Caenorhabditis elegans: one gene and its partners. The protein of the gene in region 1 interacts with the protein of each later gene in a pairwise test. Each region holds a gene or a part of one and is shown in the gene's direction. Other genes may lie near its edges. The genes, in order: nhr-2, clec-258, Y51H4A.8 and Y43B11AR.3.

Evidence for each region.
Region 2: the proteins of nhr-2 (region 1) and clec-258 interact in a two-hybrid assay, tested with the Caenorhabditis elegans proteins (one large-scale study listed by BioGRID).
Region 3: the proteins of nhr-2 (region 1) and Y51H4A.8 interact in a two-hybrid assay, tested with the Caenorhabditis elegans proteins (one large-scale study listed by BioGRID).
Region 4: the proteins of nhr-2 (region 1) and Y43B11AR.3 interact in a two-hybrid assay, tested with the Caenorhabditis elegans proteins (one large-scale study listed by BioGRID).

Annotation. Positions count from the first base shown.
Region 1 is NC_003279.8:5,816,337-5,824,271, reverse strand, and holds nhr-2 (Nuclear hormone receptor family member nhr-2), read left to right. Parts: upstream 1-3,137; 5' UTR 3,138-3,163; coding exon 3,164-3,273; intron 3,274-3,352; coding exon 3,353-3,547; intron 3,548-4,118; coding exon 4,119-4,596; intron 4,597-4,646; coding exon 4,647-5,168; intron 5,169-5,286; coding exon 5,287-5,400; 3' UTR 5,401-5,798; downstream 5,799-7,935. Other genes in the region: C32F10.8 (alanine transaminase), read left to right, coding at 1-213, 354-430, 481-972, 1,044-1,134; hmg-3 (FACT complex subunit ssrp1-B), read left to right, coding at 6,147-6,383, 6,455-7,092, 7,181-7,935. UniProt on the Caenorhabditis elegans protein: Orphan nuclear receptor.
Region 2 is NC_003283.11:19,785,447-19,792,024, forward strand, and holds clec-258 (C-type lectin domain-containing protein), read left to right. Parts: upstream 1-2,993; 5' UTR 2,994-3,257; coding exon 3,258-3,480; intron 3,481-3,545; coding exon 3,546-3,835; 3' UTR 3,836-3,939; downstream 3,940-6,578. Other genes in the region: srt-45 (Serpentine Receptor, class T), read left to right, coding at 189-404, 452-496.
Region 3 is NC_003282.8:16,573,170-16,582,076, reverse strand, and holds Y51H4A.8 (DUF4136 domain-containing protein), read left to right. Parts: upstream 1-3,527; 5' UTR 3,528-3,561; coding exon 3,562-3,771; intron 3,772-3,867; exon of another isoform or gene 3,868-3,888; intron 3,889-4,074; exon of another isoform or gene 4,075-4,096; intron 4,097-4,319; exon of another isoform or gene 4,320-4,343; intron 4,344-4,566; exon of another isoform or gene 4,567-4,588; intron 4,589-4,689; exon of another isoform or gene 4,690-4,771; intron 4,772-6,304; exon of another isoform or gene 6,305-6,325; intron 6,326-6,448; exon of another isoform or gene 6,449-6,469; intron 6,470-6,578; coding exon 6,579-6,929; 3' UTR 6,930-6,983; downstream 6,984-8,907.
Region 4 is NC_003282.8:7,078,682-7,085,602, reverse strand, and holds Y43B11AR.3 (TruB_N domain-containing protein), read left to right. Parts: upstream 1-1,886; 5' UTR 1,887-1,995; coding exon 1,996-2,231; intron 2,232-2,362; coding exon 2,363-2,457; intron 2,458-2,501; coding exon 2,502-2,707; intron 2,708-2,755; coding exon 2,756-2,907; intron 2,908-2,950; coding exon 2,951-3,103; intron 3,104-3,161; coding exon 3,162-3,327; 3' UTR 3,328-3,386; downstream 3,387-6,921. Other genes in the region: rps-4 (Small ribosomal subunit protein eS4), read left to right, coding at 942-1,200, 1,247-1,646, 1,748-1,868; nssp-41 (MS Related Protein), read right to left, coding at 3,539-3,679, 3,809-3,951, 4,001-4,064.

The DNA of each region.
Region 1 (7,935 bases):
TACTATTTGAGTGAATCGTCTAATTGGTCCATGGATGAAGCTGAACTTGAAAGATCTTTCAATGATCACTGCAAAGAATACGATATTCGAGTTTTGTGTATCATCAATCCAGGAAATCCTACCGGACAAGCACTTTCTCGTGAAAATATTGAGACTATCATCAAGTTTGCACAAAAGAAGAACCTGTTCCTTATGGCTGATGAGGTTTATCAAGTAAGTTTTCGATAAAAATTTACACTCGATAATTTTCCACTATTTTCAATTAAAATTATTTTAAATCATAAACCATATTTTTTAATGAGGAAAATCACACTTTTCTATTAAAATAATGAGATTTAAAATATCATCTTCAGGACAACGTCTACGCTCAAGGATCGCAATTCCATTCATTCAAGAAGGTTCTTGTGGAGATGGGAGAGCCATACAATAAGTGAGCTTTTTTTCCTAAGCAGTTAAAAAACTCATAATATTAATTTGCAGAATGGAATTGGCTTCTTTCCATTCGGTATCCAAAGGATACATGGGAGAATGCGGAATGCGTGGAGGATATGTTGAATTCTTGAATCTCGACCCAGAAGTGTATGTCCTTTTCAAAAAAATGATCTCTGCCAAATTGTGCTCCACAGTACTCGGACAAGCCGTCATTGATGCCGTTGTGAATCCACCAAAGGAAGGAGATGCATCGTATGCTCTGTGGAAACAAGAAAAGGATGCAGTACTTGCTTCTCTTAAGGAACGTGCTACACTCGTCGAGAAGGCATACAGTAGCATTGATGGAATCAGCTGTAATCCAGTTCAAGGAGCCATGTACGCTTTCCCGCAAATCACGATTCCACAGAGAGCTGTTGAAAAAGCTCAGTCTTTGAACCAACAACCTGATTTCTTCTATGCTATGCAACTTCTTGAGACCACCGGAATCTGTATCGTGCCAGGAAGTGGATTTGGACAAAAAGACGGAACTTATCATTTCAGGTTTGTGATACTCTAATTCACATTTAATACAATAAATCTAGATTCATTGTTGGTAAATTCAATTTTTTCAGAACGACAATTCTTCCACAGCCAGAACTCTTCAAAGACATGCTCTCCCGGTTCACTGATTTCCACCAAAAATTCCTTGCCGAATACAAGTAGACTTTGAACAATGTCTAATATTCTTCTTTTCTCAATTTTCTCAGCTTTTTTTCTTCTATGTCACTTTTTGTTTCATAGCCAATATGATAGGGTCTAAATGCGTTTACTGTGTAGATTCGATTAATTTTAATTATTGCATTGATGAATTTTAACATTCTTTTTTTTGTAGAAGACTATACTGCCACTTTCACCTGACAAACAATAGGACCTCAGACAGTTTCTGGCACACTCTTATTGATGGATTCCCAAAATACAAGGTCTTTGTCCAGAACCGCCGTTCAACACAATGTGCATTCCACTCGATCCAATTGAGCAGATTCTAATTCACCTAAACGGAGGCCCAATCTGTGACAGTTTATGACCAAATATTCTGTTGCACAAACGTTACATAATCAGGTCAATCTGCCTGCACACACACAATGTTGCCGACTGACGTAACACAGAATGATAGTTTATTGGAGGAAAACAAATGGGCTCTCGAGATAACTGGAGTAGATTACGCAGTTTTGAAATATCGCAGTATTCTTCACTGTCTATCTAAAATCTTATAAAACCAAAAATTACCTCCAAATGGGTTTCTTGGAAAACTACATGGTTCGGAAAATTCGGAATTGTTTGGTATTTTCAATTTATTTTTGAAATTTTCATACACTATTTCCAATTCTTAGTTGGAAAAATTGTTGTTAACAAATTTAAATGTTTTTTTTTGTTGAAAAGTCTTAAAATTTCAAAAAAATATCAAACAATACATATATTTTGCGAAATTTTCGAATTACTTACTTAAGTTTAGAAACGGTTTTGAATACTGAATTCTAGAATATTTCCAGCAATGATTCTCGTCACTAAATGTTTTCTCATTAGCTAAATTAAAATTGACAGCTCGGCCGTTGATGATCCCTTCTGAAAAGAATCAAGATTAGATAACCCCAATCGTTGTCTATTTTCAGAATAAATCGATATTTATAGTTTGACCTTTCCCTTCTGTCAGAATGTATTCGACCATCTGTGCTAAATTGGGGATGGATTAAAGATCCTTCATTAACCTCTATATTACTGTACTATTATAGTATTCTCTGACACATAGCCTCTCTATAGATAGGGGTTACAGAAATGAAATGTTACCCCAAAAGAGGGTTATGAGCATAGAGTTCCAGCAAAAGAATTGACCTACAAAGAACCAAACTTGGCGGCTAATTAATGTTTTGAAAAATTATGACGTCACACTATTGCTTAGATTTCAGCCATGTACTGATTTAATCACAAACATAATCTAGATATAATCTATCAAATTTCTATTCTGACTGTGTGTGTCTTTCAGAAAACCTTTAAATTTCACTTTCCGGAAGAGATGTACAACTATTTTCACTTACAGCAATACTTTTTGGTCGATATATTCCAGCTACAATGACGAAATGTTTTTGGATTAGGGACTGTAGGTGTACTGTAGCTACAGTGCTGTAGCTGAATTTAAATATTATTTTACAGCGTATGAGAACATTATAGGCTACTTGTGTTACCGCTGGGTCCGTAGTTGTTTGGCTTCGAGAGAGGGAAATTTCCTGAAAATTAATGTTCAAGAGCTCTACTATTTCTTCGACACTTTTTCTCACTGAAACTTGATAGACTCTTATTCTGCAACTCATATGCCAACTGAGAACCATACCCAATTTCTCAACAATATCTGTTAGTTTTATCCGAACGCACAAATATATTACAACACCACACTGCGAATATTTGGAAGAGATGTCATCACACCCACTTTCCATCTCTTCACTGTCACCTTCTTATTCCCATAGACCACCAGGGGCGGAGCAGCACACCGTCGTTGCAGGCAGAACGAGCAAGAGTGCGCGAGAACAGTGTGTGCAAGGTCAGATGGTCATTATGCAACCAATTCGAGCGTTCGTTGACCAACATTTTCGCGCGTTCTGTCAGTCTGTTGAATTGTACACTATTTCATAGTATACTCTTTTTTTCAATTTATTAACTCTTATTATTTTTCTATCTCTATTTCTTTTCTAGTTTTCAGATGGTTCCAATGAATCCAGAATTGATGCATTATCCAAATCAACCACATATGATGCCAGGCTATCCAATGATAAATGCATATCAACAGTCATATTTACAGAATCCGGCACAGTAAGTTTTTATATTTCTGTATCCAGTCATAACTTTTCGTGCATTCGAATTATTACAAAACACCAATTCTCACTTTCAGATGGACCCCAGAAATGCTTCTGTGTATGCAAATGCAAATGCAGCAAATGGTTCCAGGAACAGCAACAAACTCAACCTACATGCCACCACAATCTAAAAATACAGTCACTCCAAATGCCACATCACCGCTGAGCCAGATTTCGGACAGAGATTCGGGAAATGACACAATCTCTCCACCACTCACTTCACAGAACAGGTATGTATTTCTTCTGCGCGGTAAAAAGAAGAGTTGCGCAATGTTTGAGTGTTTGGGCGGTCTCTACTTTATGGTCCAATTTGTTTCACGCAATACGTAGAAACAGGTCACCTTGTGACGTGGCAACTGGGTAAGAGAGTGACAGGTCAGAAGAGGGGGCAGATGGGGGACTGTATTGATGACGTGGCAGATGTTACCTCCTAATGATGAATCATATTGAATCCTATTGGCAGGATTCAAGACATCTAAACGGGAATCTCTTTCAACTGGCAAGGTTGGAAGTGGGATTTGAAAATTCAGTTAGTGATTTCAAGTTGATGTAATTTTTACCAATTCACACCTAATTAGAACAAAGAGCGGTTAGATGCAACAAAAAATATTTTAAGATGTTGTACAAAGAGATTAGGTGAGAACAATAGAGTCAGATTTAGCGGAATTTGAGAACACGGTTGTACAGTATGCCGAGGGAATTCTACGTTTCAGCGAGTTACTAAATTAATAAATAAGGCAACGATGACTGGAAGATTACTTTATCCTTTCTATAGTAAAAACGTTAAATTCAATTTTTCAGCGCAACCACTCCAAACTACCATAATCAGCCACAAATGCAATTGACTCCACTTCAACAAGCAAAACCAGAAAAAGAAGAAATCTCACCATATGCAATTAATAATATTCTTTCTTCGACTCAAAGTTCTCCAGACAACGGAAATGAAGCCGATGATAAAGAGAACAGTTCTGTTCGTCGTAACACATTCCCAGCGTCATCTGCTTCAACAAAAAAGCCACGTGGTACTCCATATGACCGTACTAACACACCAATGACAGTAGTTCCACAAATGCCACAGTTTGCTCCAGACTTTTCAAACTATAATCTCACAATGAATGCTTGGAGTGAGTTCTTTAAAAAGGATAGATGTATGGTTTGTGGTGATAACTCTACTGGATATCATTATGGAGTACAGAGTTGTGAAGGATGCAAGGGATTTTTCAGAAGAAGTGTTCACAAGAATATCGCATATGTTTGTACCAAAGGAGAAAATTGCACAGTGAGTTTAATTAGACAAGCATTTCAAAAATATGCTATTATATTTTTCAGTTCTCATATGAAAATTGTGCGGCAAATCGTGGAGTACGTACTCGTTGTCAAGCTTGTCGATTTGCCAAATGCCTCGCAGTTGGAATGAATCGTGACAACGTTCGAGTGAACAAAGAAACTGATAAAGATGTTAAACCATCAGTGGCTTCGCCCAATTTTGAGATGACATCACAAGTGAAAGAGCTTACGGCCGCCTTTGTTGCAAACATGCCATGCTCTACTCACTTAACATCGGGAACTCATGCTATTGGAGCAATTAAGAAATTTATTGAATCAGTTCCAGCTTTGAGCTCACTTTTGCCAAAAGATGAAAAAGCACTTGAAATGAGTATTCAAAAAGTGATGAGTGGTATCTTGGCTATTCGTGCGGCTTTCACATTTGATCCAATCACTTTCTATTCCTGTGAGAATCCAGTAAATTTGCTTCGTGGCGGCATTCGTAATACAGTATTCAATGATTGTGAAGTTGCACTTCTCTCTGGAATTCATATACTTCAAATAGTCAATGGAGGTGTCGCTGAGGTAAGTAATTGTTTGGCATAATGCCAAAATTGTCGGAATATTCCCAAATGACACAATTAATCCCTACCATAACACTCAAGAAAGTAAATATTGCGCCAAGAAAGTTAACCTTTTTCAGATTTTTACGAGTTATTGTCAAGGATTACGCCATCAACTGTCTCAAACACATCTACAAGAGATAGGACTCTGCGATCGATTGCTCATGAGATTGGGACCGTATCTCAATCAATAACAAATATATTACTTCTGATAAATTCAGAACCGATTCGGTGTCTGGACACGCTTCCAACCGGTTCTGAATTCTCACAAAACTTTATTCCTGTCTTATGAATCAATATAGATTCAAAATACTTGTTTAAAGTCCCCTTCCCCCGTTACTATCATTTTCTATTCATGTTCTCAAAGTCTGATCATTTCTTACTGATCTCTTCCTCCAGGTGTGAATTTAATTCTCTATCTCACTCTCTCGTTCGGGCTATATACTGTTTCTTTTTGAATTTCCAATTGATGTTGTTTGTTAGGCTGTTACAGTACCAAAAATTATATTATTTGAAGTTTGTTAAAAACTTAATATATTTGGTACTGCTTCTTGGTTGTTGAAAAGATGAAATAAATATTATTTGATAATTTAACTATTTTGTATGCAGGAAAAAATTTGACGTGCCACAACTTTTACCGTTATTTGTCGTAATTTGTCGTAATAGTAATTTGTCAATTTATTTGTCAAAATTAGTCAATTATTAAAAAAATAATAAAATTAATAGAAACGGTCGTCAGATGCGGTGCTTGCGTATACAGTATACTTCGGTGTTCACGTATGATCGACTACCGTAGTTCTTTGTTTTCGGTTCGACGCGCGAAAAAATTAGAGTGCATTTTTCGAGAATTCATTTTTTTCATTCTTTTCCGGACTTTTCTTGTTCGCGGACGTTTTTCGCTTCTTTTCTTTACACGCGTTATTGACTGACAAGTTTCAGAATGACTGAGCTCAAATTCAAGGGAGTTTACGTGGAGGATATAGGCCATTTAACATGCGGAACGCTTACATTGACTGAAAATTCGATTAACTTCATAGGCGATAAGGGTGGAAAATCAGTTTACATCACAGGAACCGACGTCGATAAACTGAAATGGCAAAAGCTTGGCAACAAGCCGGGACTACGCGTTGGTCTTAGTGATGGAGGTGCTCACCGCTTCGGAGGATTCTTGGATGATGTTAGTTTGTTGTTCGTTTTCTTTATTTTTATACGTTTGTAGTCTCATTTTATTCAAATTCGAAATTTCAGGATCTTCAGAAAATCCAATCGTTCACTTCTTCTAACTGGTCTAAATCTATCAATCAATCAAATCTTTTCATCAATGGATGGAACTATGGGCAGGCCGATGTCAAAGGCAAAAATATTGAATTTTCATGGGAAAATGAACCGATTTTCGAAATTCCGTGCACGAATGTGTCAAACGTCATTGCCAACAAAAATGAGGCTATTTTGGAGTTCCATCAGAATGAACAAAGCAAAGTTCAGCTGATGGAGATGAGATTCCATATGCCAGTTGATCTAGAAAATGAGGAGGATACTGATAAAGTAGAAGAATTCAAGAAAGCAGTGCTGGCATATGCTGGATTGGAGGCTGAAACTGAGCAACCAATATGCCTTCTCACTGATATTCTGTGCACAACACCTCGTGGAAGATATGATATTAAAGTTTATCCGACAAGTATTGCACTCCACGGAAAGACGTACGATTACAAGATTCCTGTCAAAACGATCAATCGTCTATTCTTGGTTCCTCATAAAGATGGACGCCAAGTATATTTTGTGTTGTCGTTGAACCCACCCATTCGCCAGGGACAGACACACTACAGTTATCTCATTTTCGAGTTTGGGAAGGATGAAGAAGAAGATTTGGAGTTGTCGTTGACTGAGTGAGTTTATTTCAGAATTTTCTGGGAACAATTCCGTGCCACTCAAATATATTTTATATTGCCGTCCAATAATTTGAGAGTATTTCAGTGAACAACTCGACTATTTCAATGGAAATCTTCAACGTGAAATGACTGGACCAATCTATGAGACAATCTCAATTCTCTTCAAATCAATTTGCAATCTGAAAGTCACCGTTCCTGGACGATTCCTCGGAAGTTCGGGCACTCCTGCCATACAATGTACACATCGTCAGAACCTTGGATTGTTGTACCCAATGGAAAAGGGATTTTTGTTTATTCAAAAGCCGGTCATGTACATTCGCTTTGAAGAGATTAGCTCATGTCATTTCGCACGTTCTGATAGCGGAACTGTAACAAGAACTTTTGATTTTGAGATTGATCTGAAAACTGGATCATCGTTGACTTTCAGTGCAATGGATAAAGAAGAGAACAACAAACTATTCGACTATCTAAACAAGAAAGAGATCAAAATTCGCAATTCTCATCGTATCGATAACAAATCAGCTGGTTATGGAAGCAGCGATGAAGATGATATCGATCCATACAAGTCAACTGTGAAAGCAGAGGGTCGTGAACAAGATGATGACAGCGATGATGAAAGTACTGATGAGGATTATGATTTGGATAAGGATATGAAGAAGCAGAAGAATGACAAAGACTCATCAGAAGGTTCTGGAAGTGAACCTGACGATGAATATGATTCTGGCTCAGAGAAAGATGCTTCAGGAACTGGAGAATCTGATCCAGATGAAGAGAATATTGAACCAAAAAAGAAGGAGAGTAAAGAAAAGAAGAATAAACGCGAGAAGAAAGAGAAGCCGG
Region 2 (6,578 bases), on another chromosome or scaffold:
TTTAATATTTATTTTTTTTTAATTTTAATTTTAAAATGTCTTTTTTGTTTGCAATTGAACACGATATGTCTGAGAGGACAGTAATAACTAAGTGTCAAGTTTAAAATCAAAAAGTTGGAACAGTAGTTATTTTGTTTTTGAATCTTCTATCACATTAACTTATCAATCCAAATAAGAAAATCTTTCAGATTTTCATTCAATGCTCCATAATTTGCTTCTTCAATACCGGAACTGCTTTGGTCTACAACGCGCTAGCAATTGTAACCCCTGCTGAATGGATTCTTGCATTTGGACAAATATGTTGGACATGTAATCATGCAAGTCCTGCTATTATATATGTCTCTTTAAATAGCACTATCCGCAGGGAATTCTTGAAAATTGTGTTCCGAAACACTTTGGCACCGGTAAATTTAATTTTTGGAATTTCTGAATTAAAATCTCTTGTTTTCAGAAAGTGGAAGATGCTACAACAGGTGTTGCAAAGAACACGATTTAAAATCAATTTTGTAATGTAATTTTTTTTAGTTTTGTTCTGACATCTAGCAGGTTTCGCCGAAAAGTTTAAATATCCATCTGATACATTGCATAGCCTACATACCTTGAAATTTGTATCTGCATTGAAAAAATGTAATTGTAATATGGATGACAAAAAGTGAATAAAACTTTTCCACTATTTATGTCAGTTAACAAAGCTTGGGCAGGATTGGATGTTGTAGTGGGCGACATCAAGACTGTGACCTCAAAACATTTTCAACAAACTTCTTAAAACCCCCAACCCCCAAGTAGACCCAAAAACCGATCATAAAATTAATTTTTTGAATTTTTCCAGTTGGAGGATGGTCAGCAGTTAGTTTTCAAACATTCAAAGAAATATTCCAGGAGCTTCTATTTGAGTTTTCTGTTAAAATCAGCAAAATAAGGTACATTTCTGGTGTTGGTGATTACTTGATCTTCACTAATTGATTAGTGAAAAAATTGTGAAACGCAGAGAAAAAATATTTGACCAATAATTGCGGGCTCCTGAAAATAATGACGTCACACTTGTTTAATCAAGAAATTCCAGTTTTTTATAATGTCATTTTAAGAACCTACATTTTTTGGAGTTAAATTTTCAAATTTCTGCTGTTTCAAGTAGGGCTGGCCAACCGGACGTCCGGTTTTTTCGAACGTCCGGATTTGGGAAGAGCGGTGCCCAGAACTTCTGGATGTCCGCTTTCCGGATAAGGAGACCCGGGAACTCCTTTTCAAAATTGGGCCACGCCCACATGGATGCTGGCAAGTTTTCCAGTCAGGGGGACTTATGTGAACGTATATCCCGACATTTTCTGGGTTCCGCGCCTCACTGTGAAAGTGCCCACACTAGTGTGCGCGTTTTTATAGTGAGCGGCGGAACCCAGAAAATGTCGGGATATAGGTTCACATAAGTCCCCTGCCGAAAAAAATTTTCCAGCATCATTTGCCACCCACGGGTCTCCATGTGGGCGTGGCCTAATTTTGAAAAGGGGTTTCCGGATCTCCTTCTCCGGAAAACCGGACGTCCGTTGTCCGGAAGTCCGGATTCGGACGTCCGGTTTCGTCCGGATTAGTCCGGATGGCCAGCCCTAGTTTCAAGTGTCTCGATAGACCACAAGGGAGATGGTGTGTTAAGGTAAGGCTCAATGCCTATTGTACCTATATCCTATACCTTCAGGCATTCTACGGGAACAACAACCATGACGCCACAGAAGCCGCCTGCCAAGCTCAGGGAGCCAAGCTTTCTGGATTTCAAACTGCCGATTAATCAATGCGAGCTACACGTAAAGCCTTAAAATCCGCAGTTATTCCAGAAAATTCTCAGTTTCCAGACCTCCTCAGAGCCCTATCCCCCGGCGCTAACACAATAGCCTGGGTCGGTGGGATCAGAAAAGCCAGTTGCCCAACTGTTCAGTCTTGTACCCCGGCTAACAGTTATCAATGGACAGATGGCCATACAAATGGCACCGCTGGCTTCACTTTTGCCGTTAATCAGCCTGATATTCATAGCGGGTAACTAGGATTTCAACGTGGTGTCCGGCTGTCTTGTTGCGGTTGATCTACAAAAAATGCGGGAATTTTTCCCCGTCTCTTCTCCCGCATTTCTCGGAGATCAAACCAACAAATCAAAATGAGATACTCGGACACCACGTGTACATTCCAATTCCAAATTTAATGCGCTTATAGAGTACAATTCTGTCTGACCCAACATGTACATGGCCAAGTCGACTGGGGCCTCACTTCTGCTCAATGGCACTTTTTCAATGGGAACTTGGATGATGTGGATTGCAGGATGGCACATAATACGTACTTGTGTGGAAAAGTTCCGAAATGAATGCGGGTGAATAAAGAGTTATTGATTTTTTTTTGTACCAACAAGTTAAATGATAATAATGTGCTTGCCGGATGACCTTTGTATACAGGTATACAGGTATTAGGTATATATGTATTGGTATAGTTATTAGATATATATGTATTAGGAATATAGTTCATAGGGATATATGCATTACGTATATAGTTATTAGGGATATAGTATTAGGGATATAGTTATTATGTAATCAGGTAGTTATTTTGTATATAGCCATATGCATTATATGTATAGGCTTTAGGTAAATATGTATTATGTATATAGTTATTATGGATATAGGCATTAGGTATATATGTATTAGGTACATAGATGTGTCGGAATTAGGTATACAGTTATTAGGGATATACGTATTAGGCATATTGGTATTAGGTATATAATTATTAGGTATGGTATATATGCATTACGTATATAGTGATTAGGGATATATGTATTAGGTATATATGCATTAGGTTTATAGGTATTAGGTGCATAAATGTGTAGGCACTAGGTGTATAGGCATTAGGTATGTGAGAATTAGATAAATATGTGTTATGTAAATAGGTTCCATATTGTTATATATATATTGGCCTATATATAGGTATCATGTTCTCGCCGGCTGTCCTTTTGCAAACATTTTTGAAACTATGCAATTGCTCCAATTACATTTTATTTCTGTTGCTTTTCGAATCTATTTTTCCTACATTTTTTCAAATTCTTACTACAAAATACGCTATTTAACCTTTCGATAAAGACGCACTTGCTGATAATTGATAATTTGATGCATTATCGGTTTCAAAGTCATTCTACATAAAATGAACATAGTTTAATACTGATAACAATTAACATACATATATAAAGGTTTTACACGCAAAAAGTAACCTAAACACCACATTTCCAAATGTTCCCGAAACTTCTTTTCTTGGCAATACTTATTCCATCATCACTAACCGATTGTCCTGACATTGATGGCCAAACCAGGGAAATCAAAGGAATATGCTATAAATTTGTGACTTCTCTGATGAAATATGAAGATGCTCGTGATTGGTGTCATCATCATAACCCAGCTGGGCCTTCATGGCTAGCATATGTCCCTGATCAGGAAACGAGTAATTTTTTGGCCGGTGAGTTTTAATAGTTTTATCTATTATAATTTAAGGTTTTTTTATAAGTACCTAATTTTTTTTAGTCTACGCCGGTTCAATATTTGGTGAAGGTTTCAAACACTTCTGGATAGGGCTCAATCGGGATCCTATTTCTAAAACCTTGTCCTGGGATACCGGTCTTTCAGTTTCCTATACCAACTTTGGAAGTAACGTTGCACAAAACTACTTTTCTGAAAACATCACTAATACAAAGTGGAATACACTGGGAGATGATGAGGTACATAACTTTGTGTGCAGTTATAGGCCATCTACAGTACCTGCTACAGTAACCCGACAACCTCAAGCAAGACGGCTGGCAGCAATGAAGAATTGAGCCTAATGAAACATATTTTTAATTGTCGGAATTTTTTTTCAATATCGATTTTTTTTGCTTTTGGGAAATCCAGGTGTAACTATAAACAGTTTAAATTAAAAAAAAATAGTGATTGCGCCAAGAAATTACAAAAATCGATTTTTTACAACCTTACTAGACTAGGCTTAGGCTTAGGTTTGACCTAAGCCTTAGGCATAGCCACAGGCATAGGCTTAGGCTTATGCTAGGGTTTAGGCTTAGGCTCAGGTTCAGGCTTAGGCGTAGGCTTAGGCTCAGGCTTAGACTTCAAACTTAGGCTTAGTCTTAGTTTTGGGCTCAGGCTCAGGCTTAGGCCCAGGCTTAGGGTAAAGCTTGGACTAATGCCTACGATCAGGCTGGGCGGAAGAGAAAAAAGAAATTCCAGAAAATTCCAGCATTCAAAAATAGGGAAAAAACACGAAAATCGTTAAAAAAAGAAAAAAAATGGTATATTTACAAAAAGTTCCTTGAAAAGAGGGAAAAAACAAAAGAAATTTTTTCAAACTAATTATGATAAGTGGCAGTATTCATGGCAAATACCGATTCCGGTAATGTTCTTTGAAAATTTTAAAATCCAAGTTTTTTTGACGATAACTTTTGATGGAACCATTAAAAATGAGCAATAAAAATGCGGAGGGAGCGATATAAATTCAGGAAAAGGAAGTGAAACAGGTTATAGTTTTCAGTTTTCATTTTGGAGCGTTGTATATTTCAAAAACTGATAGCAGTTCCTTTTTCCAGCTATGAAGCTTTTTCTCATCGCTTTTGGTATATCCTCGGTCTTTGCTCATTCTTTTTCTGGATCCTCTGATTCGGATGAAGGTCACAGTCATCGTGGTCGTGGACATAGGACACCCCGACCATCTGGACCAAAATCTTGTGAAAGTGGATGGACGGCCTTTGATAGACCACATGGGAGATGGTGTATTAAGGTGAGATTTTAGGAAAAAGCATTCAAATTTTTTCACGTGGTGTCAGGGAGTCTCATTGTGGTTTGATCTACAAAAAATGCGGGAATTTTTCTCCCAGAAAAGTGTGACGTCAGCACACTCTTAACTAGGGCTCCGAGATGACTGAGGCGCAAAATGCGAGCCTCACGCCGACCTCACGCTGATGCCGCGCGCCGCTGTGTGTGCGCAACGTAGTGCGAAGTGGTGTTTGTTTGGAAGCGGCCGACACGTTCGGAGGTCCGCGCCTCACGCCGGCGCGGCAATCTCATGGGAGCCCTACTCTTAACCATGCGAAATCAGTTGAAAAGTCTGCGTCTCTTCTCCCGCAATTTTCGAAGGTCATACCAAAATGGGACCCTTTGGCACCACATGTTTTGTGAGAAAAGGGTTTTGGCGGGAATTTCAAGATCCATGTGCAAAATCGCTTTATAAACCATTTTAAAAAGTGTCTTTAAGCCATTCTACGGGAACACGAACCACATCACTGCACAAGCCGCGTGCCAAAAACATGGAGCCAACCTAACAGGCTTCCAAACTGCTAATGAAGTTACACAAACCGTTCGTAAGAAATATTCATCTTGTTATAATTTTTCACACTTTTCTCTATTTCAGACCTATTAAGAACCCTTATCAACCAAAAATCTCCCGGTGCAAATACCATCACCTGGATCGGTGGAATAAGAAAAGCGAAATGTTACCGACCTGGTATCTGTACCCCCCGCTGACACTTATGAGTGGGATGATGGTCTTACAAATGGGACAGCTGGTTTTACTTATGGTGTCAATCAGCCTGATTTGATGAGCTTGTGAGTTATACCTTCAGTCAAAATTCAAATATTACATAACTGCAGAAGGCAATGGTGCCTAACGTTGCTTGTACATGCAACATCCGATGCTGGCGTTGTCACTCCTCAATTCAGTCTTTACAATGGGAATATGGACGATGTGTTCTGCGATCAGTCGCTTGACACATATGTTTGTGGGAAACTTCCACGATAAAAGAATAAAGTTTTTCGGTTATTTTTTAACTGCTTTGTTTCTGTAATGAATGAATTAATATCATTACCTATATATTAAAAAAAATGCAGTTCGTCTATCCGGAGTTTGTAGTCTTTGTAGTCTTTGTAGTCTGCAATGTTTTGACTTAAGAAGATATATTGGTTTAGGGTAAGTGGGGGAATATGGTCAGGGTACTGTAGTAGTAGTACTGTAGAGGTACTGTAGGATTACTGTAGTTTGGGAAAAATTGACTTTTCGTCTTTTGAAGGGATATTGGTTTGGGGTTAGTAGTGGGATACACTCGGGGTACTGTAGTGGTACTGTAGAGGTACTGTAGGATTACTGTAGGATTACTGTAGGATTACTGTAGTTTGGGAAAAAATGAGAAAACCTGACTTTTCGTCTTTTGAAGGGATATTGGAAACTTTGCGAAAATTATGAAATGTTCCATAACCATCTGGAAAACTCGAGAAAAATCAGAAGGATATCGTCGGGGTACTGTAGTAGTAAAGGATAAGGTCGTGATGAGACCCATCGTGGCGAGACCCATCGTGGCGAGTCCCATCGTGGCAAGACCCATTCTCAAAATAGTTATCGTTGAACAGTATAAAGACGTCTCTCTATAGTGCGATCTATATTTTTAACTTGGTACATAGGTGACATACAATCTTTCCGCTTTGCTCTGTGGTCCTCCCTTTTTCTGTGTGTCAATGCCTTGCCGCTCAGCGGCAGAACAAAGCGCAAAAACTGTACGCGTAGCTACGTACCAAGTTACA
Region 3 (8,907 bases), on another chromosome or scaffold:
GTCGAGAAATTCACTGTTTGACCGCGTGTGTATAAAAATTTTCTTCCGATTTCGTCAATGATCTTTTTGCATACATTAGCAACATATAAAAATTAATTTGAAAGCTTCCTTTAAAAATAAAATTGATAATAGGCTCCGCCTTTTTCTGGGCTTTCTTTGTTTTTGAAGTTTTCCAATCGAATGTTCTGTGAAAAAATCTTTTCAAACAAATTTTTGTAACGGTTGTTTGGCAATATTTCGATCTTTTGATTTTTGGATGTACCCTTTATCTTTTGTTGATAATATTTTGTATCATGAGTAGAAACAAAACCAGGAAATTAATATCTGGCATAATTATTAGGTCGTTCAATAAGTTTTTTCGTTTTTTTCTAGTTTTGGTTTTTTCTTGGATATTATTTTGCGGTTGTACAGAAGACTGTTAGTAATGACAAGCCCAACAATATCAGCCATATCGGTCAACTTCCAGATTATTTAAAACTCAGAACTATGATGACGAAAAAAAAAAATTTTTTTTCGAATTTTTTCATTTCTTTGTGAAATCAAATACTTTGTATGCGTAGAGGTATAAGACAGTTAGTTAAACAAAACTGAAAAATTTCAGACTCAGGCATAGCTTATTGGTAGCGCTACATCTGTTTAAAGTGCCTAAAACGCTTGCAAAATTGACTTTTTTATGTTTAAGCAGTGCTAACTTTTAAACCATGAGAGATATACAAAAGTAATGTATTACAACATTAATGTACACATCATCAGCTACATTTTATCAGTATGTTACATTGTTGTCCCTCCTCACGTTTCTGAGTTACAGTTGATAGAAGTGAGCTTGGTCCAATTTTCAAAAAACCCTAATTTTCACGTTTTCGCCTGTAACTCCGAAATCAGGCGTCTAATTAAAAACTTCAAATTAAAAATTAAGTGATTTTAAATTATAATCGGGTTCACAGTTGACCGTTTTGTCATATCTCATATGTGGGCAAAGATATGAATTGTCAAAGAAAAGTTGCGGAAATTTTAGAAAATTTTCAAAAAAAAACATCGAAAAAAAATCCAACAGTTTTTTTTACAAGATAACCTCTAACTGTTTTTTGATTATGATAGCCTAATTAGTAATCAAAATATTAAATGTGTTTTTAAACGCTCATGTTCTTTTCGGAAAGAGTAAAACAGTTTTTTGCAATATTTTTCTATATTTTTTCGATCATGCATTTTTTGTTTGTTGACCGTTCATATCTTTGCCCACATATGATATGACAAAACGGTCAACTGTGTACCTGATTATAATTTAAAATCACTTTATTTTTAATTTGAAGTTTTTTAATCAGGCACCTGATTTCGGAGTTACAGGCGAAAACGTGAAAAATTAGGGTTTTTTGAAAATTGGACCAAGCTCATTTCTATCGACTGTAACTCAGAAACGTGAGGAGGGACAACAATGTAACATACTGATAAAATGTAGCTGATGATGTGTACATTAATGCTGTGATACATTACTTTTGTATATCTCTCATGGTTTAAAAGTTAGCACCGCTCAAACATGAAAAAGTCAATTTTGCAAGCGTTTTCGACACTTCCAACAGATGTAGCGCTACCAATAAGCTATGCCTGGTTCTGAAATGTTTTAGTTTTGTTTAACTAACTGTCTTATACCTCTACGCATACAAAGTTTTTGATTTCACAAAGAAATGAAAAAATTCGAAAAAAAATTTTTTTTTCGTCATCATAGTTCTGAGTTTTAAATAATCTGGAAGTTGACCGATATGGCTGATATTGTTGGGCTTGTTATTACTAACAGTCTTCTATACAACCGCAAAATATTATCCAAGAAAAAACCAAAACTAGAAAAAAACGAAAAAACTTATTGAACGACCTAATAATCAAATTTGGGCAAAATCTCTTAAGTTGGAGTAGTGACCGCACCGAACATTAACCTATTGCGTTAAATCGATTTATCAGTTATTTGAAATTGTTTTAAATAAAAAATATTTTTAAATCGTGTCCATTCAGATTATTTGCAGTTGCCTATATCAGCATAGTGACACAGTCAGAAATTTTTTGTGTTAACACAATGTAGCGAGAATGGTTGTAAGGCAAATATAATCATGATTTGTACTATGGAATACAACAATTCTACAGAAAAATTGTACTTATAAAAATTATGTTTCACAATATTTATATTGCGTCACTGATATTTTAGTTATTATTTCAGAACTTTTTCATGAGAAAGATCTTAAAATTTCAATGATATGATTCAAAACAATTAATTTAAAACATTAAATTCAAAAAAAGTAAAACTATTCAAAACTTTTTTTGAAAATGTTGTTTATTTTATTTCAAAAATGGCAACCATTCTGTTAGGCACTTATTTGGAAATCGTTGAAAAAAAAATGTTTTCCTCCGAATTTTATGTTTCAAACGGTAATATTCAATTATTTTAGGGATAGTTTTCTTTAAAAGTGGCAAAAACTTAATAATTGGCGCTTTTCGGAAAAAAAAAATTTTCTAAAATTTTTATTGTTTCAACATGCTTTTATTATACTCTTTGTAAATTGGGTTTTATTCATACGCTCAAATTGTATTTTGGTAATTAAAAAAATTGAAACGTAACCAGGAAATTAATATCTGCCAGAAGTAGTCAAATGTAAGCAAAACCTCTTAAGTTGGAATAGTGACTATGGTGGTTTTTACAGAAAACTGTCTTGTTATAGGAAAAAAATCTAATAGTAACACAATGGTTTAAAAGAAAGCATCTACATTTTTTTAAAGGTAAAACTTTTTGAAAAAAAATTGGATTTTTAAAAATTCACTGTAAAAAGTGACTATTACTCAAATTTTGCCACTCATAATTTTATAAGTCGATCAAAAAAAAACTTCCTACAATTTTTTTTGCCAAAACTTTGACTGGAAGTTGTAAAAAATTTGAGTTTTTTGGAGTGTTTTTTTAAATGATATCCCCACTGGCGCTACTCCTCCATCAATGACTTTAAAAATTGATAAGAAATCGAAAAATCTGAATTTCGAAATTTACCGTTTCACCGCGTGCGTATAAAACTTTTCATCACATTTTGATCTATTTCTGATAGTGATCCGCTTTCAAACGTGTAAAACAATTTAAAATTAAACCAGAAGCTTCCGATAAAAGTATAATCAATAATAGGCTCCACCTATTTTTGGATTTTCATTGTATTTAAAGTTTTCAAATCGAATCCAGGAACAAAATCTTCAAAATTTGCAACAAAAAAAAAATTCAGTTTCAGCCTTCAAACAAATTTTAGTAACGGCTGTTTGACAATTTTTCGATCTTTGGGTTTCAAATTTTTACGAGTTCCCTTTTACCCCCGCTTAGTATGCTTTACCTATTCTTACTGTTGGCACACCCACCCACAAGAAAAAGTGTTAACAATCAGTAATAAAATGATGCCATAACTATGACAAATATAAACATTTTTGGCAAATCGAAACAAACATAAGCTATTGTGGGGCAAAGGTTAAGGAAACGGTATAAAAAAGGATTGAGGTAAGGTTTAAACTTCACTTTTAACTTTTGTGATTTGAACCTTCAAAATGCTTAAAATTCTACTGCTCCTCTGCTTTTTCATCTCCACAGCCGGAGCCTGTGCTCCGGGTACCGGAACGCTGGGCTCCAAGGGAACATTCAGCTATGAAATGAACCCTCCTGCTCTATACACCTATGATTCTCTAGCAGAATTTGAAAACGGACAGTTTGATCAAGCCTATGCTCAGCGAGTTGTGGTGTCGGATGTGCAGAGTGCGGTGAGTTAAATGCAATTTTAAATAAAAATCCCAATACAGAAAAAATTTCTACTGTTTCACAAAATTTTTATGAACAGCTACAGTTTTCTTTGGAGTTCGTATAATTGCATTTATTAAAAGTCCAATTATTAAATGTCCAACTATGGTGGTGGATAATTTTGCCAAATTTATAAAAGAATGTGAAATGGCAACACATCGCATAATGTTTAACGGTTGCATTATTATTTGAAAAAAATTTGAAATTCTCAGAAGCTTTATAAATTCTAGTCTAGTTTTGATGAAAAGCCATATATTTTCTTAATTTCCATCAAGCCAGCCTATTCAATAAAAAGCGATTCATAAAAAGTTTAATGAAATACTTTTGAAACATTAAAAATTTTATTGAAATTTTCTTTTTTTTTTCGAAAAGTGCCAATTACTACGTTTTTGCCACTTTTAAAGAAAAGTATAGCATATTCCAATCTCTACAATAATTGAAAAAAAACCCATAAGTGGGCCATAAAATTCGGAGGCAATTTTTTTTTTGACGAAAACAATAATAATAACTTTTTAGGCACCGTAGAGTTGAAACACTCCCTAGTAAGATAACAGTGAGCTAATAAGAATATTATAAAACATACTTTTTTACAAATAAAATTTTTACGTTTTATTGAAAATTTATTTTGTAGAAACATGTTATATTCTATAGTACAAATGCATGATTATATTACAATCTTTCTATTTTCATTGTGTTAACACAAAAAATTCTCACTGTTTCACTATACTGATATAGCCAATTGCAAATAATCGAAATAATTCTGTTCTCTCCTAGAAACTGATAAATCACTCAAAAGCGACATACTAGGTGCGCGGTCAATGAGTTAAAAAATTTATTTAAAAGCCTGTAGATTTAATTCGGAATATTTTCCAAAAAGTATTCGCTGCGAGCAGGATTTGAACCTACGCGGGCAATGCCCATTGGATTTCAAGTCCAACTCCTTAACCGCTCGGACATCGCAGCCCGGTTTCGGAGAGCTGGTTGGGGTGTTTTCGTTACCGCAAATGGCTGTGTTGTTCGCACATTTTGAGCGGAGAAATGACTGAAAAAAGTATGCTGAAAGAGAAGAGCCTAGAGATGTGTCTACCTACCACTAAATCTATTTTGTTATCACTTTTGAATTATTTTTTTTAGAGATAACAATCTGAAACATTAATTTTTGAAATAAACCACAAAGTATCAGGTTGTCCCATAAGTTTTTGTACTTTTTTTCAAATATTTTTCCAAAACTTCTAGAAAGTTTTAAAATTTTTTCATCGTAGGTCGTGTCAAGGTCGGGTCGTCCCCTTCCAGAAAAGATTCATTTCATCCATTTCTACTTTGCCACGATGACAATCATCAAACTTGAACGTCGAGACGTTAGATTGCTTCTTCTTTATGAATTTCGTCTTGGTCATTCAGCAATGAAAGCGGAACGAAACATATGCGGTGCGATGGGTGAGGGAGCACTCTCTTATAATACAGCAAAGAGTTGGTTTCAAAAGTTCAAGAACGGCGACTTCAGTCTCGAAGAAATAGAACGTTCTGGGCGACCGGTAGAGTTAAATGAAGAAGACCTAGTGAAGCTGGTGGAGGAAGAGCCTCGTCTTAGTCTTCGTGAAATGGAAGAGAAGCTTGAGTGTTGTCATAGCACAATTGCACGTCACTTGGGTCGCCTTGGTTTTACTTCAAAACTTGGAATTTGGGTGCCTCATGAACTTTCGGCATCACAGAAGCTCACTCGGGTCAACGTTTGTACTCAACTTCTAACTTTTCGTCGAAAGTTCGATTGGCTGAACAATCTGGTTACTGGAGATGAGAAGTGGGTGCTCTATGTTAACCATTCCAGAAAACGTCAATGGCTTCCGATCGGTGAGAAAGGAATACCGACGCCAAAGCCTGATCTTCACCCAAAAAAGATAATGATCTGTGTCTGGTGGGGTGTTCAAGGACCCGTGCACTGGGAATTGTTGCCAACTAATAAAACTATCACTGCTGATTACTATTGTGCCCAATTGGACCGAGTTGCAGAAAAGACCAACGGAAAATATGAAAAACTATATTTTCTTCACGATAATGCTATGCCTCATGTCGCCAAGAAGACTTTCCAAAAGCTGCAAGATCTTGGTTGGACTGTTTTACCGCATCCACCATATTCTCCAGATCTTGCACCAACCGACTACCATTTGTTCTTGTCTCTCAGTGACTACATGCGCGACAAGCAATTCGACGACGAAGAGCATCTCAAAACTGAACTCTCCACTTTCTTCTCATCGCGTTCGCCGGATTTCTTCTCCCGTGGCATCATGATGTTACCTAGTAAATGGCAACAAGTGGTGGACACTAATGGTGAATACTTGTGTGAATAGTACTACTTGTCGCTTGAGAGAAATAAATTTTTTTCAAAAAAAAAAATAGTACAAAAACTTATGGGACAACCTGATATTTATACCCATTATCAATAAAAAAAAACTGTTTCAAATATTTCATTTTTCAGGTTGTATAAAATTAATTCGTTTGTCGATCTTTTGAATTCTTTTTTAAAGATAAATAAGTCTGAAACATTAAGTTTCAAAATAAGCCACAAAGTATTTATACCCATTATCAAAAAAAAACTGTTTCAAATATTTCATTTACCAGATTATATTTCGGAGAGCTTGCTAAAATTTGTCCATACGAACCAAAAAAAATTATCTGCTCAAAACTTGTATAATAATGGAACCAAGTAGAGCGCTAAAACACTAAAAACACTATACAATACCAAAAAAGTTTAAAAATTCAAAAAATTCAGATCAACGACGTATTGCAAGCCAACAGTATCCCCCTAAACGACATAAACCCACCAGTCATCACATTCTCGCCTCCAAACGTCACACTTACTACAGTAACCGAGTGCACCGCCGACACCGCGGGTTACGGTGTTCTACAACAATCCACAGTCTACTATAAGTGTGCAGCGAAGGCTGGAACCGATGGAAAATACGCGAAAAGTCCGTTTGTTGTCCCTTTGACCGTTCAAGTGACCGCGATTTCTGCAATTTATGAGAGCCAGTGGAAGATGTTGGCTTCTCAGATGGCGGACAAGTTGACGACGAAGAGAGGAGCACAGTTTTATACAGATCCTATTGTTACTGTTGGTTAATTGGTTTTTTTTCTTTTTGTGGATTTGAAATAAAATTATATTAACAGCGAGAATTTTTTACATGTATTGAAGTTTGAACATGGGATTTGATCTGGCCGTACAGAATAGAATACGGAAAAAGTTGAAAATACTTTAACGTTATTTGAAACAGGGAAACATAAAGTTTTTATGGGCGTTGAAAGCGAAAAATTAAAAGTTGATCTGATTTTGAGAATTCAAATTTTTGACTGTTTCATTAACATCACTTAAGATGTGCATTATTTTGATTCAGTATTGAATGATATGCCAGATCACTGCAACTTTTTTCGAACGAGGGCCGAGAAAAAATGCGAAAAATCGGTGTTTGCACACAATACACCGCATTTTACGACATTTTGTACTTGCTTTGTTTTCTTGTGTTTTTCACCGATTTTTCCCGTGTTTTCTTATTAAAACTGATAAATAAATATTTTTGTTAATGCTAAAATAATTTCCAGATGAAAAAAATTGTGAATTCAGTCGGCAAGTAGCGGTAAAAGTGGTCAATGTAATATGATGGATTACGGGAATAAAAAACCCAAACTTTTTCCCAAACATGATACATATGATGTTTAGATGCTGAAAGTACCTGATTATCATAACGAGACCGCTGAAAAAGTTTTGAGATTTTCAAAATTCAACTTTTTTTGTGAAAATCTCTACACCAAAAAAGTTGAATTTTGAAAACCTCAAAACTTTTTCAGCGGTCTCGTTATGAAAATCAGGTACTTTTAGCATCTAAACAGCATATGTATCATGTTTGGGAAAAAGTTTGGGTTTTTTATTCCCGTAATCCATCATATTACATTGACCATTTTTACCGCTACTTGCCGACTGAATTCACAATTTTTTCACTTGAAAATTGGTTTAGCATCTGCAAAAAATATTTATTTATTAGTTTTGATAAGAAAAAACGGGAAAAATCGGTGAAAAACGAAAGAAAACACGCAGAAAACAAAGCAAGATAAATGGCCGCTGAAATTTGTCAGGGACTCGGCCATAGCCTAGAAACCTTTTTGCCTCGTCCCTCGTTCGAAAAAAGTTGCAGTGCAGATTTCATATTTATAAAAATAAGAGCGGATGTGTTTGGCAATGGTCTGTAATGTAATCTGTAATGTTAGACAATATGGTTTAACAGGAATTTATTTTTGAGAAAAAATAGGTATTGCGTCTTATATGCACGCAAGTTTTCAAAAGATTATTTTGTTTATTTTTTTGTCTGGGAAGTTATAACTTTACAGTAAGATAATACATGAATTCCAACCACATTTTTGCAAATATGCTTAGTTCCGGAAACACGACATTTATTTTTTAAAAATATAAGGAAAATTCAATCACTAATTTTTTATCTTCTCAAGATTTAGCCAAAATAAACTTTACTGTTGCATTATCAACATTTTAAGAGTTTCACGATGTTAGTTCATTTTTCTCATCATTGGAAAGGTAAAAACATTAGTTTTCAGCCAAAAAAAACAAAAAATATATTCAGGCCTTGGCTGAACGTGGCTTAAAAATTTAGATTTTAATCTAAAAAAAACATCTGGATTCCGTCCCAGAATATATAATTAAAGGTTAAATCGATTTAATTGTTTATGAAAATAAGAGCTGCTATGTTCTGTAATGGAGCGAAATATGGTTTTACAGGGATTTATTAGCTGAAAATATATAAGGAGCACGTCATTAATTAATAAATGCCAACCCCATTTTTGCAAATATGCATAGTTCCGGAAACATGTCATTTATTTTTTTCAAAAATATAAGGAAAATTCAATCACTAATGTTTTATCTTCTCAAGATTTAGCCAGTGATTCGCAGTTGATCATTTATAAAAATTTTTTTACTGTTTCATTATCAACATTTTAAGAATTTCACGATCAGTTCCATTGCTTCCGTTCCATTGCTAGTTTTGATTTTTAATTAAAAAAATTTCGATCACGCTTTGCAAAGAGAAAAACATTAC
Region 4 (6,921 bases), on another chromosome or scaffold:
AATTTTTTGCATAATAATTTTTTTTCATTCTTAATAATGTTACTTTTCAGTTTGAAATTGCTCCAAATCTTCCACTCTCCTTTCCCCATGAATCCCTCGAAAAAGTGCCTTTTGCAACAAAAATACGTCTTTTCTACTCATTTACTGTCTACTGAAACTGCCTTTCGCTGGAATTATTCTTAAAAACTCCCCATATTTCCAATTTTTTCTTTCCAGTAGTTTTATCAGTAAATGGTCGTTTAATGTTTTTCAAAAGAAAAATTATCGAATTTGTGTAGAATGTAATTTTTATTTTTCAATTTCTTTTTTTTAGTCGCCTTTGTTTCTCCTTGAAATATTGAACAATATCGATTTTTTGTGAATAAAAACATTTAAACCACTAAAAAATTTCTTGATTTTGGTCTTAAACTACGAAAATGGAACACAAAATCTGAATATACACGAACTTCTTCGATAGGATCAAGAAAAATAGAAATAACATTTTCAGCATATTAAAAATAATTTTTTATAGTTTAATTTATTAAAATTTTTCATTGAATGTACTGATAACGAAACAAAATTCATCGAAATCGTGTCGCAGCATAAATAAAATTGTTCGTTGGAGAGGAGTTCACGACAGAGAGTGCGACAGGGCACGCTTTCTTGCGTCCAAGGGACAGCCAGTTGTACAGCTGCCAGGTCTCGCAGCGAAATTGATTTTAGGCCAGACGCAAGGAAATTTTTAGAGAGATTTTTCCTATTTCTCCTGTTCTCAACGCAAAATTTTTTAATTTTTTCATATTTTAATGAAATAACGATGTTAAATATCATTTTTGAGCGATAGTTGTGCTATGTAGTTAATCTGTTCCATTTTATGCTTACTCTCACTATTTTTATCATTACATTTTCGTGATTTCTCATTTTAAAGTTCAAAATTCCAGCTTGAGGTACACACTTGAAAAATGAGAGGACCAAAGAAGCATCTTAAGCGTCTCGCTGCTCCAAGCCATTGGATGCTCGACAAACTCGGAGGAGTCTTCGCTGTTCGTCCAAACCCAGGACCACACAAGCTCCGCGAGTCCCTTCCACTCAGCTTGTTCCTCCGTAACCGTCTGAAGTACGCTCTCAACTACACCGAGGCCAAGAAGATTCTCACCCAGAGAGTTGTCCGCGTCGACGGAAAGGTCAGAACCTGCCACAAGTTCCCAACCGGATTCATGGGTAATTATAATTTGTATTCTTTCTAGTTTTGTATTCGCGTTTTCAGATGTCGTTGCCATCGAGCGTACCAACGAGTATTTCCGTATGCTCTACGATACCAAGGGAAGATACGTCGTCCACAGAATCCAAGCTGCCGAGGCCGACTTCAAGCTCTGCAAGGTCAAGTCTGTCCGCACCGTCAACAAGGGAGTTCCAGTCCTCACCACCACTGACGGACGCACCATCCGCTACCCAGACCCACATGTCAAGGTTAACGACACCATTGTTTTCAACATCAGCACCCAGAAGATCACCGACTCCGTCAAGTTCGAGCCAGGAAATTTGGCCTACGTCACTGGAGGACGTAACGTTGGTCGTGTCGGAATTATCGGACATCGTGAGCGTCTCCCAGGAGCATCTGACATCATCCACATCAAGGATTCTGCTGGACACTCCTTCGCCACTCGGTAAGTTTGCCTAAAAGGCTAAAGGAGAATGAAGGTCGGGGGCCGCGAGGGTCGTAAAAGTCCGGCTAAGGTTGGTTGCTAATTCAAATTTTTCTTTTCAGTATCTCCAACGTCTTCGTCATTGGAAAGGGAAACAAGGCTCTCGTCTCCCTCCCAACTGGAGCTGGAATCCGTCTCTCAATCGCCGAAGAGCGTGACAAGCGTATGGCCCAGAAGCACTAAACTGTTGTTTTTGTTGAAAAATAAAATTGTTAATCTAAAAAACGACTTAATCTTCAAAAGGGAAATTGTTTTAGCAAACCTATCGCTTTGAGATATGAGACTAGTCTTAAAGTTTGCATTTTTGGATATGGGTCATCTTGATATTTGGAAGTCTTTGTCCGGTGTTCTCTGTGTTTATAAGCACTCGGGAATTTCCTCCGCTGGGTTGATCAAGCTGATTACTCGTAAGATCGCCGAATCTGTCTCTGATATTGAATCTACTTCTCGAATTCAACTTCCTCTGATCTCCATCCCAGTCATCGAAGCTCATGAAAAGTCAGGCGCTCTAGTAGTCGTCGGCCGGAATGAAGTGGCTGATTACAGGTAGTCGTAATTTAAAATATATCAAAGTTAGAGCAATAACTTGATTTTGGAAAATTTAACATATTTTAGCCAAAAATTTGGTTATTCACAAGATCTGCATAAAAACGAGAAGAATGTTCTGTTATTTTCAGATATCATCCACTTGTGTCTGGCAGATCAATCAGACAAGAGGACATTCAATTGGTAGACGTACTACCGTTGGCCACAAATAGTTCTGGAGTCTGCTGTAAGGTAGAATTAATAATTTTCAAAACAAATTGATATTTTCAGTGTTCGGTGTCAATGATGGTTGTGAAAGTATTCCAGAACTCATGTCAAAGTCATGGACAAATGTGTATCGAATCGATGGAATTATAAAAAAGTCGGAAAATATAGACGTTTCGAAAATTTCAAAGCATCGAATTGAGAAAGTTTTGTCACGCTTGGAATCTGAATTTCGTAGTGCCTCATTTCGTCATGCCAATGTAGATATGGAGGTGATTATTCGAGATTCTTGTATAAATATATAAAAAAAGTTATTTAAGAGTTCAGAAGCATTTGAATTAGCTCGTCGAGGAGTTCCACGGGCTCAGCTACCCGGTTCACAAATAGTTTATTCGATTGATTTGAATTGGTTCCGATCACCAAAATTCTCTGTGACAACTCAATGCTCTGGCGAAGACGATGAAATGCTCAGGTTTCCCGTTTTTAAAATCCCGTTTTTGAAATGTTATGTTCAGACAATTGATTGAGCACATTGGTTCAAACCTTGGTACCGAGTCTACGACAATTCGACTTCAGAGACAGAATTTTGGACCATTTGGAAGTGACAATGCACTGTTAGAAAAACAAATTAATCTACAGAACATTGCTAGAAATATAATTCTGAATCGGTATGTCAAAATAATAGAAATACCATAAATAGCACACATTAATTAATTTGTTTTTCAGAAAAATCATCACTTCCGAATCAGTTAACAAGAAGATTGTATCAGAAAGCGTTGAGCCGGAAGATTCAACAAAAAATCGGGAGATTTTCGATGGTTTCGGATTGAAAGAATCCACAAAACTGGATGATTACGATGCAATGAGACCAGCATGGCCGAGAAATTATTAATTCTTAATTCTATTCTCGAATTTATTATTAAAAATAAACTGAAAAAATAGGTTAGATACGGAAAGTAGTAGAACATGATGTATATGCATATAGTTTGAGTTAAATTTAGAGAAAAGTATGGATGTGACGAACTTATGATTTTTTATGATAACAGAGGGGTGGGAGAGAGAGAGGGAACGATAAAATAATTAAATATAAATTAAGTTATCATTCAATATCTAACAGCATGTAGGACAAGGACGGCGACGGCGAGAAGTTGAGCTGAGAAAGTTGTTGAGCTTTTTGTAGTTGTTTCGATAGTTGGAGATGAAGCAGGAATATCTGATGAATGGACTGGGACAACAGTAGATACCTGGAATATTATTAATTAAAACAGTTTTGCAAACTAGCTCAATAAGATTCGAAAATGTTTCAGACTACATATTAGATTCTTTTTAAAACAGTACTACAAATCTGCCTCCGTTTTTCCAGCAGAACTCACATCGACAGCAGATCCTCCAGCAGATTTTCCGGTAATTTCTTCTCCAGCTTCTTTATTTCCATCTCCTCCAGCAACTGCACCAGTCACAGCAGGTTCAACTGGAGCTGGTGATGCTTCTACGACAGCAGGAGCAGCATCCTCAGCTGAAAATATTAAATAGAATGATGAATATAATACTTATTAATTGTTTACCTTTTACTACTGCGAAGATCATTGAGATGGTGGCAACGAGAAGGAATGATGTGCCAAATTTCATCTTGATATTGGAGAGAAATTGAAGGCTGAAAATTGAAACAAAATAAATCTAGAAACTATGTTCAAAGTAGAGGAAGAATTGAGAGTAAGAAGAAGAAGAACTGAAAACTCGTGGAAATTGTGTCTGCAGATGACATAAATGTTCATATTTATGTACTGTAAATTTTCCCACGGAAAGATACGAAATATGGAAATAAGTTTTTCCTTTTTGACGACAACAAAACCGACCAGTAAAATTGAGAAGAACGAATGAAAGAAAGAAATACAAAAAACGACGAGGAGGAACCGGGGGTGGTTGTGCAAAACCATCGCAATTTTATAGATATATTCGAATCGAAATGAATCGTGAACGTTTTATCGTTGATTCCTCCTCTCTTCGTATGGACAGTACCGATCATACATACACACAAAAAGTGAGAGAATTGGAGGATTACTGTGATGAGTTGAGTTGATGTAGAATATTGATCTTTTCGAAAACTTCTGGTTTCGAGAGAAATCATGTCCAATTGGGAATTTATAGAACATTTATTATCGAAATACTCTTTACTTCATAAAATTTGGTACTGGCAACTTCAGATCGCTGCGGGATTCACTAGAAAATTATGGGGCTTTAAGTTATGTTTTCAGAACGAATACGTTTGCTTCAGACGTTCGCTTGTAACTGGATATAGGTTACCAATATTGTGAATGGGATAATACGGAAATTATTTCTAGTCTAGAGGGATGTTTACAGCTGAAAATAAGCTATTACGTAGACATCAAACTTATGAGAATTTTCGCTATATTGCGCGGATGGGTCTCGCCACGCTGTCAGCGAGTTACTTTAAACGTGGCGAGACCCATGCATAAAAGATATAGCGAAAAATATAACTTAAATAACCCGAAATGTTTTGAGAGAAAGTGTTGGTTCTACCCAGAAATATCAGAAAATGACTCATTTTCTCATAAACAACTCGAGGAAAATCAGAGGCTATTGAATTTTTTGACAATAGCTTTAATCAAAATTCCTATTGAAGAATACCGCTATTCATTTGATAAAGAATGAAGATTTTTTGAGATGAAAAAAGTAAAAACACAAGAACATAGAATATTGTATTGAGTTGAACAAACTTTCTAGCATGATTTCATATATTTATATGGATAGTTTGTCATAAGATAGAAATTCGTCGAAAAACGGGAAAATCTGATGAATGAAGAAAACCAAAGTCGAATAAATAAACACACGTGGAAACCGAGAACAATAAGACCTCCATGCAAGAACTTGTTTCAAGACTATATGTTTATTGATCATTCAGATTAGTCAACTGATTTCAAATAACATTATTTGTCGAATGAACCAAAATAATACAACTTAATACAACATCAATTCTAGATGCCATTTTTTAAGTCTTAATAACATTAAAACATTCGTGGTTCAGAATTGATTTGGCTTCAAACTAAAATTTATGCACACGGATGACCTAAATCATACAATGCATACCAATTGAGTATTTCTAGAAAGCTTTTTCTAGAGCCTAGAAGCTTAGAAACACATTTTCATTACCTTGATATCTAGTAATGCTCAAAAGCGAATCGATCCGATTTTCGCAAAACTCGGTGATATACAATGTAGAGAGTGGCCTAATCTGCCACAGAAAGCTGGCAAACAGTTGCAGAAAACTGGGACGGTTTTCCAAAATAGGATTACTTCTTTGCTTGAAATCAAGAATCAAAACCGAGTAAGGATCAAATTCTCGAAAAGGTACATAATTTGTTTTCGAATGAAATCCAAAGTTCTAGTACTAAAGCTGTCGTCTACCTACCAGCTTCTGCATTCTGATGAAGCACGAATGAAAAACTAAAAATCCCAGAAAGATGTGTATTTCTTGTTGCTCCACCCCCCTCGTCTTCCAACTGAACACATGTGTGAACACGTATTTTGGTTATTTTTTGTGCTCCTCTCTTCAAACGCGCGCGCAGAAAACATATAGAAGAGCAGGAAAAGCGAGTAGAAATCTAATTGAGAATTCTGAAAAGAAAAAATACACGAACAGGCTAAAAAAATGGTCTTAGGAAGAAGAATGTAAAATAGCAAAAAGTTCACATAGACGTTGAAACACATTTTTATGGGTGTCAATTGGTAAGGTTACGGTATGTTTATAAAGCATCAAAGTAATATGGAAAATGGGGTTTCAGAAATCTATTTCTGAAACATTTTTCGACAAACAACACGAAGCATGAATCAGCTGATGTCTATATAATTCAGGAATTCAAGTTCTTACGGTAAATAGTAGTTATCAACATAGTTTTGAAGAAAGTTAGTTTTTAAATTGTCCGATAACACCAAATTGTGATAATTTCCAAAAATAATATCTATCTTTTTGCCTCAATCGGAAATGTTTGCTATTTTTTATTTAACTATGATATTAAACTCTTAAAACCAGACAGAATATTTTTTAAAAACACTGAAAATCTTGAAAGAATATTCCAGAAAGGGATTCGTTGGATGAATGAAGAATGCATGTTCTTATTCTCATTTTCTCTTCTCAATAATCCATCTTTTCAATTTGATATTCTATTCTCATTTGTCCCGTCTTTCTTTCTTTCCCATTCCCGAATGGAGAAGAAAAAATTAGGTATTCAACAGAATTGTTGCAGAATATTATGAATAAAGAAGTAATTGAAAGATGGAACATCTGTTGACATCTGTAACTATGAGAGAATGGAATATGAGTATTAAAGAGTTTGTTACTTTTAAATTTGACAAATTTAATTCAGTGAAAACCAAGCTTTCCTAGTAGGCAAAAAAAGCCTGCCTGTTTACCGTTTAGGCAAGCTACGCCTGCCTTGTGTCCACACTCTGTCCTACTTTCTTTTGT